Linked DNA regions of Cricetulus griseus. The protein of the gene in region 2 purifies or fractionates together with the protein of the main gene of each other region. This does not show direct contact. Links are inferred from orthologs where the notes say so. Each region holds a gene or a part of one and is shown on either strand. Other genes may lie near its edges. The genes, in order: Tle2 and Cct4.

Region 1 (4,542 bases), on a different chromosome or scaffold from region 2:
CCCAGGCCCTCCTCCATGGGGACACTCCACTCCCTCTACTGTTCCCACTCAGGCCACTGTCCCTAGATGCTGAGAATACTTTTTGTTACAAGACTAAAATCTCTTCTGCTGGCCTTGGTACCGCCAGAGATGTCTGAGGATGGCCTCTGCCCCACAGATGAGCATCATCCCTTCCCACAAACCCCTGACTCCAAACGGTCACCTGTTTATGCATCTCAATGTTGAGGCCGTAGGACATCTCGTAGTACTGCAAAGGAGACAGTGTTGACCAGTGTGAACAGCTGGCCCCATCCTGGGTACATGGAGTCTTGCTCCAGCCTCAGGGGTGGGAGCTTCAGGGCAAGGCATGGAAGCATGAACCCCACGGGGACCCAGAGGGGGAAGCCAGAAGGCATTGGGCTCAGAGAGGCCGACAAGTGTCCAAGACTGGGGGTTGGGGAGGAGGGCACCCAGAGAAAGCTCCTCATGTCCCTGGCTGCCCTCTTTAGAGGGAACACAAGAGTGGGGGCAGCGAGGGCGGGACCCTACCATCACATAGTGCCTTTGCATCTCTGTCTTCTCGCTGGCCAGCTTTTCACACTCCAGTTTGAGGCTGGGCAGGAAGATTGGACAAAAATGGGGGATCGCCTCACCACACCCCACGTAGGTCAGTTTCCGTGACAGGTAGGAGCTGCCTGCCCACCCCACACTTCTTTAGAAACTGTCTCCAACCCTGGTGAGCCCAGGCCTACAAACCCTTCCTCAGGGAAGGTTTTCCCAGAAACCCACTCACGTCACCTTGGGAACACTGTCTCCACCAGGAAGCCCTCCAGTCCTCCCGGTGAGCCTCGCTCCTTGCCCTGCAGACCACGCCCCCTCCATAAGTCCCCACCCCCGGGGGCCTCCCAGTGCCCAGAGCTGGGGCCCCCTCACCTGTGGTACTGAGCTTGGAGAAACTGGAATTCCTCTTTGATCCGGTCACAGATTTCCAGGACTGAGAACTTGAAAGGCTGGCCGGACTGCAGCGGGGTCTGAGGGGATAGAGGAGAAGGACACGGGGGGGGGGGGAGTTCCGGGCACCAGCAGGTAGGGATCCCCTCCCTCGTCCTCCCCTGCTCCAGTCAGAGGTGGGGGTCTCCGTACTCACCGTACTCACCGGGTGCCTTCCCTGGGGGTACATCCTGCTGATGGACGGATGGGAGAAGGGGCAGCCCAGCTTCGTGGAGGCTTGGAGATGGGGCAAGAGGGAAGCTGGGGTGCGGAGGTGGAGCAGGGGACAGAAATTTAGGGTGCAAAGCTGAGGCTGGGAGTAGAATGTGGGGTGTGGGGCAGAGCAGAGGGTAGAATTTGGGGTGCTATTCTAGAGCTGGGGTGCGGCGAGACTGAGGCTGGAAAAGCTGGGAGAGAAGCCGGAGCTGGGGGAGGGATTTTCACGCAAAGAAAGAGCAGCCAGGGAGAGCCTGCCTGCCGGGGGCAGGGGACCTGGACCCCGCGCGGCGCCCCACCTCCCGCCAGCGCGCCCGGGTTGTCCGGCCCGGGGGCAGCTGCAGCCCGCGCCGCAGGTCCGTGGCCGCCGCCCGGGGTCGGCGCTGGTGGCCGGTAGCTGCGGAGCCGCCTCTCTCCGCAGGGCTCGGCTGGGAGCCGCGGGCGGGACCCGCCTTAAGGTGGCACCGGTCTGCCTCCTTGGCTCCCAGACCCGCTGGGGAAACTGAGGCTTGAGTTAGAGCCTACTGTTCTCGCCCCACCCCCACGCAAAAGAAAAAAAAAAGAATGAAAGAGAAAAACAAGTTAGGAAAAAAAAATCTTGCGTACTCCGGGAGCCCTGGGGGTTGCAAGAGTCTTTCTTGAGCCAGTAACACGGGGCCCCATGAAGGATGAACACCCCCAAACACCAATCCCAGGAAAGGCAGACCCCAGCTATGCTCACTAGCCAATGCTGCCCAGCTGTGGGGACCTCACGAGTGACCTCTCAGAGCATCAGGGGTGAAGGACCAGGACAGAGACCAGGGCAACCTGACATGCATGTTGGTGCCACCACCAGTCCACTGGGTGGCCTCCTCAGACCGGGTGGGGGTGGGGAGTCCAAGAGGACTAGACACCTTAAATTAGTACACAGAAACTTAGGTCTGGGGATAGAACCTGGTCACTAGAACATTTTTGCAGAGCTCATCTTCTGACCACCTCCAACCCTCACTGGGGAATTCTAGGCTCCAAACCATGCCCCAACCCTCCTTTTACTTTTGGAGATGAGGTCTGGATCAGTTCCCCAAGCAAAACGTGGGTTTGGAATCCTTATGTCTCAGTCCTATAGTAGCTGCGACAACAGGCCTGTGCCATCAGTCTCGGCTCTGACAACAAGCTCAAGTGTGTCTCTCACTTATCACCAGGGACCCCCCCCAGGGGGCTTGTTTCCTACTCTGCAGAACAAGAGAGCTCCTACCCCATTTCACAGAGAAGAAACCTCAGATCTGCCCCATCTTTAAGCCAAAATCAATAAACATGTGTGTATGCCTGGTGCTACTGTGGACAATTGTGCCCTGGGAAACTGGGCAACGACGATCACGATCATGGGAAAAGACCCCTCCTCGTTCGTTTGAACATTTGGACCTCTGTGGACAGCTAAGTCAGCTACAGGGGACAAGGGCCTTTACGAGATTCTGCAGAGGGAGGATGTTAGCTGAGACCCGGGACTTCGAGGATAAAAGGACAGACTCTAGGAGATGAGCCACGATCTGCCAAGACCGGGAGCTGCCCGTGCAAAAAGCAAGACTTTAGACAAACGATGACAGAGACGAACAAACAGGAGCCGTTGGTGTCATTAAGGCTCCATTGTAGATGGAGCCTTAAAAAGTCAGGGGGAGCCAGGAATTGACAGGAAGACCCAGAGGGAGGGAGCACCCTGAGTGTTCAGTAACTTTCTGAAGTGCCCCCCAACACCCATCTCGACCTAGAATCCCCCAGTGAGGGGTTGGGGGCGTGGTCAGGGTGGAGCCCCACCTAGAATCCCCCAGTGAGGGGCTGGGGGCATGGTCAGGGTGGAGCCCCACCTAGAATCCCCAGTGAGGTGCTGGGGGCGTGGTCAGGGTGGAGCCCCGCCTAGAATCCCCCAGTGAGGGGGGCTGGGGGCGTGGTCAGGGTGGAGCCCCGCCTAGAATCCCCAGTGAGGGGCTGGGGGCGTGGTCAGGGATGAATCCCCCCCTCAATATCTGGACCACCATGCTCTCCATCTCAGGCCTATCCATCCCTGGGCCTTTGCAGATTCTGTACAGGGCACGGTTCCTTCCGCACTTCTGCATTCCCACCACTCAGATTCTCCCCTATGAACGAACATCTCCTGGAGTCCCTGAAGCATCTTCTAGCTCAGTGGTTCTCTCAACTTTCCTGATGCCGCTAACCATTTAATGCAGCTCCTCATGCTGTGGTGACCCCCAATCATAAAACTATTGCATTGCTACTTCATAATTGTGATCTTGAACTTTTATAAATCGTAGTGTGTTTCCTGGTGATCTCAGGCGACCCCACAGGGGTCGAAACCCATAGGTTGAGAACCCAGCACCTGCTGCTCTGGACACAACCTACTCCTCAATCTGGTTCCACCACACTGGTTTCCTGCTTCATTTTTCCTTGCAGGTCATTCTGTCCCTCCCTAGGCTGTCAGGTCATTCTGTCCCTCCCTAGGCTGTCAGGTCATTCTGTCCCTCCCTAGGCTGTCAGGTCATTCTGTCCCTCCCTAGGCTGTCAGGACCGAGCCACACCCCTATCCCCAGGGCCTGGCTCAAAACTAGAGCGGACAAGGGAGCAAGATCGGAGAACACACCAGAAATCCTGGGCACGCTCCTGATTCCTGGGGAGTCTGAGAAAACACTATGTCCCCACCTTGTGCCCAGGCGGTCTGGGACCCCAGTATTTCCTCTCCCCGTTTGCTATTGGTAGCCCAGGCTGGCCTCAGACTCCCCTGGGGAGTAAGGGTCGCAGTGCGTGTCACCACGCTTACCCTGCAGTCCTTTCGGCCCCGGCCCGGCCCCGCCCCGCCCCCTCAGGGGATGGATAGGCCCCCAGGGATGGATAGGCCTTCCTTCTAGTGACCCTCAGCCTCGGTACTGTCACCTGGTGCAAACCCAGGACATGGTTTCTGCCAGCAGCACTCGTGCAGGCCACACACCGTGCACTCTTCCAGCTCCAGACTCCTTATCCCAGGGGACCTAATGTGCGGTGTGGCTCCCGGACTTTCTCTGGGGCTCGCACTTCCTGGAATCCCCTCCCCCCCAAAGACACACAGGTCTTATCAAAGATGAGCCCAAGGTCCCCTTCCGCAGCCTCCCCACAGCTGTGAAGGCGGCCAAGGTCAGAGGGAGCCCCCGGGAACCCGAGCGGACTTCCCGGAGGAAGGGGCCTCTGCCCCGCAGCTGCGCGTCCGGAAGTCACAGACTCGACGCCTCCGTGGAGGTGGGGGATGCGATCGGGGTCCCTGGGACTGAACCCCATCACGCCCGGCAGCGGGGGGGCACCGCGGAATCTCCCGCCCTCCCGAGTCAGCGTGGCCCCCGGCTGCCCCTGCCTTGG
Region 2 (2,983 bases):
CTCAGCTTCTTCAATCACCAGTTTGTTAGAACCACGAACCACAATTGTAACTGTTTTGCCTGGGCTCGTACAACCTGTAATCTTTAGTGAACAAATTACAAATTAGGTAATGGGGGGGGAGGAAACAATAAAGCAAAGCTTAACTGTAATGCTGTTACCTTGAATAGTTTTCCAGAACCATTTAAATTGACTTCCTCTGCTAACTCAGCAGAACCCAGCATGTCAGTAGTGAACTGGTCAATATGAGCAACTGGTTTGGTTCCAATTGTCTGGGGGAAAGAGAAGTCTACAAGTCAATATTCCTGGAGACAGAACTCAAATGGGAGAACCAGAACTTCTCAGGTATAGTATTCAAAGCACTGGACTCAATACCCAGCATGCAAAACAACAACAAAAAAACCACTGCTGGTACTGGAATCAAGGCTCAGTAACGATAGACTGCTCTTACAGAGTACCTCATGGCAGTTCATAGACCCATGTTAACTTCAGTTCCAGGAGCCTCTGAGGGGACCATGTGACCATGTGGTACAGACAGAATCACAGTACTCATATATATAAACAAAACCCTTAAAAACCAAAAACACTGCCAAGTGGTGGTGGCACTACATTTAATTCCAGCACTGGGGAAGTGAGGCAGGCAGATCTCAGAGTTTCAGGCCAGCATGTCTAAAGTGATCTCCAGAACAGCCAGGGTTATGCTGAGAACCCTGTTTCAAACAACCAAAACCAACCAACCAAACCCCCACAAAACTACTAACCATAATATAAAATCACACCCACAATGCATGCTAATGAACATTTTACATACATTACTATTTTACCTTACAAATGAACTCAATGTCTTCTCTTTCAATATCTTTAACCACCATGATCCTCATCTTATTCAGAAAATGTAATGCAAGATCACTAAGCGCATCTCTGAAATACAAAGCGTTTGTTATGTCAGATTAAAAATTTATTTTGTTCAGTAGTTAAGATTTTAATTTTACTGCTAGTCAAATGGTCAATTATGAAGGAAAACACCCAATTTATGCCATGCTCAGGATCAAATCCAGAGCTTTGTGCACATAGGCAAACGTAATCGATTCCACTACATCTCTAGCCTCAACCAGTTACTTCAGAACAAATAGCTTTTTGAAAACTATGTCATGCTCTTTTTACTTCTGGTCAGTGTTTAAAATTCATGCGTATGAGTGCTTTCACAATGAGTGTCATCCCATGGAACTGGAGTTCTACATTTGTGAGGCCACATGGATGCTAGGAACCAAACTCAAAACTAAGTCACTCTACAATCTCTATTTTTTTTTTTTTAAGGCCTTATTCTATCCCAGACTGACCCGATTTAGCAATCCTTCGGATTTAGCCTTCTGAATACTGGGATTATAGGCATGATCAGCCTATAATCCTATCACTCAGCCTTCATGTTCTTAAAATCTAGAAATGGAATCTATTATGTTTATGTTAAAAGAGAAATAGTACTGTTTTTACTAATGAAAATACGATACATCAAAATGTTCACTCTAGATTTCCCATGTGTTAGATACTAAGCAAATGTTTATTTAAAAGAAATTGCTGGGGGTGGGAGTAGGGCATTGATGGCTCGCTCAATGGTTAACAGTGCTTGCTGCTCTTGTGGAGGACGTGGGTTCAGTACCTAGACTCGAATATGGCACCTCACAGCTGCCTTATAAACTCCAGTTCTATGACATTCAACGCTTTCTTCTGACCTCAAAGGGCTCCTGTACGTATGTAGCATATACACTCAGGCACACACATACACATGAAATAAATATGGCTTTAAAAATTACTAGCAGGAATCACAAATCAAGTATAAATTCAGGAATAAGAAAATAGTCCCTGACCTTAAGATAGACTTCTGTATGAGAAGGACATTACATCCTGTTTTCTTAATCTGCTTCACCAAATTTAAAATATAGGCTCTCTCTTCTCGAAGCACTCGATCCATCTGGGCATAGTCAGATACTACTATTTGATTATCCATCTGATTGGAACAAGAATACAGTAATTATTACAGCAAGAGATTTTAATGGAAAGTAAAAGACCAATACCAAATAGTTAAATAGGCACATACAGAAAAAGTTCTAAAATGACATGTATAAACAAAGCTGGTTCTACTTATTTTAGTTTCTTTTTTTTTTTTTGAGGCAGGTTTACTCAGTGTAGTCCAAGCTGTCCAGGAAATTAAAGAGATCTATCTACCTGCCTCCCAAGTGCTAGGACTAAAGACACACACCACCACCAGCAGCAGCAGCAGCAGCAGCCTAAAGCTGGTTCTTCTTAAAATTGTAAGCATACCCATTACTGGTTTTTGTATGTTTGAAAGACAAGTCCTCCCTATGTAGCTCAGGCTGGCCTTCAATTAACCATCCAACCACTTGAGGGCTGGGATTATAGGTATGCATGACCACAGCAGGCTCTACTGCTGTCTGAAACTTTTTGCTAGTACATTTTTGATAAGTGACAAATGCAAAGTGGTTACTATTCCCCCAATATGAAGTTTTCCCACACATCACATGTATTATAAAAATAATTTTAATTGTATCATTTTTACTCTGGCTTGTCAGTATCATATATATTACAGAAATAATTTCACTACACCCTTTAACTCTATGATTTGGGACAGAACTAGGCATGGTGGTGTATACCTTTAATACCAGCAGGCAGCTGAGACAGAGGCAGGTGAATCTCTGTAGGTTTGAAGCCAGCATAGTCTATATAATGAGTTCCAGAAAGACAACAAATGAGAAGAGAGGAAGGGAAAAAGGGAGAGAGAATTTTAAACAAACACAGCCCGTCTCAAACGAACTGAACAAAAAAACAAGACGACAAATCTTATTGATGCTGGGCTGGAGAGATGGCTCAGAGGTTAAGAGCACTGACTGCTCCTCCAGCGGTCCTGAGTTCAATTCCCAGCAACCACATGATGGCTCACAACCATCCGTTATGAGATCTGGTGCCCTCT

The links.
Region 1: the proteins of Cct4 (region 2) and Tle2 purify together in Homo sapiens (affinity purification with mass spectrometry; 3 studies listed by BioGRID and IntAct, with this or other methods). This does not show direct contact. The link is inferred for Cricetulus griseus from reciprocal best matches to the Homo sapiens genes CCT4 and TLE2.

The regions. Positions count from the first base shown.
Region 1 is NC_048598.1:102,322,715-102,327,256, reverse strand, and holds the start of Tle2 (transducin-like enhancer protein 2), read right to left. Parts: upstream 3,002-4,542; 5' UTR 1,907-3,001; intron 1,900-1,906; exon of another isoform or gene 1,792-1,899; intron 1,757-1,791; exon of another isoform or gene 1,485-1,756; intron 1,478-1,484; exon of another isoform or gene 1,207-1,477; 5' UTR 1,160-1,206; coding exon 1,127-1,159; intron 1,011-1,126; coding exon 913-1,010; intron 593-912; coding exon 529-592; intron 248-528; coding exon 203-247; intron 1-202.
Region 2 is NW_023276807.1:83,763,476-83,766,458, forward strand, and holds part of Cct4 (T-complex protein 1 subunit delta), read right to left. Parts: intron 2,003-2,983; coding exon 1,863-2,002; intron 919-1,862; coding exon 822-918; intron 270-821; coding exon 159-269; intron 82-158; coding exon 1-81. UniProt on the Homo sapiens protein: Component of the chaperonin-containing T-complex (TRiC), a molecular chaperone complex that assists the folding of actin, tubulin and other proteins upon ATP hydrolysis.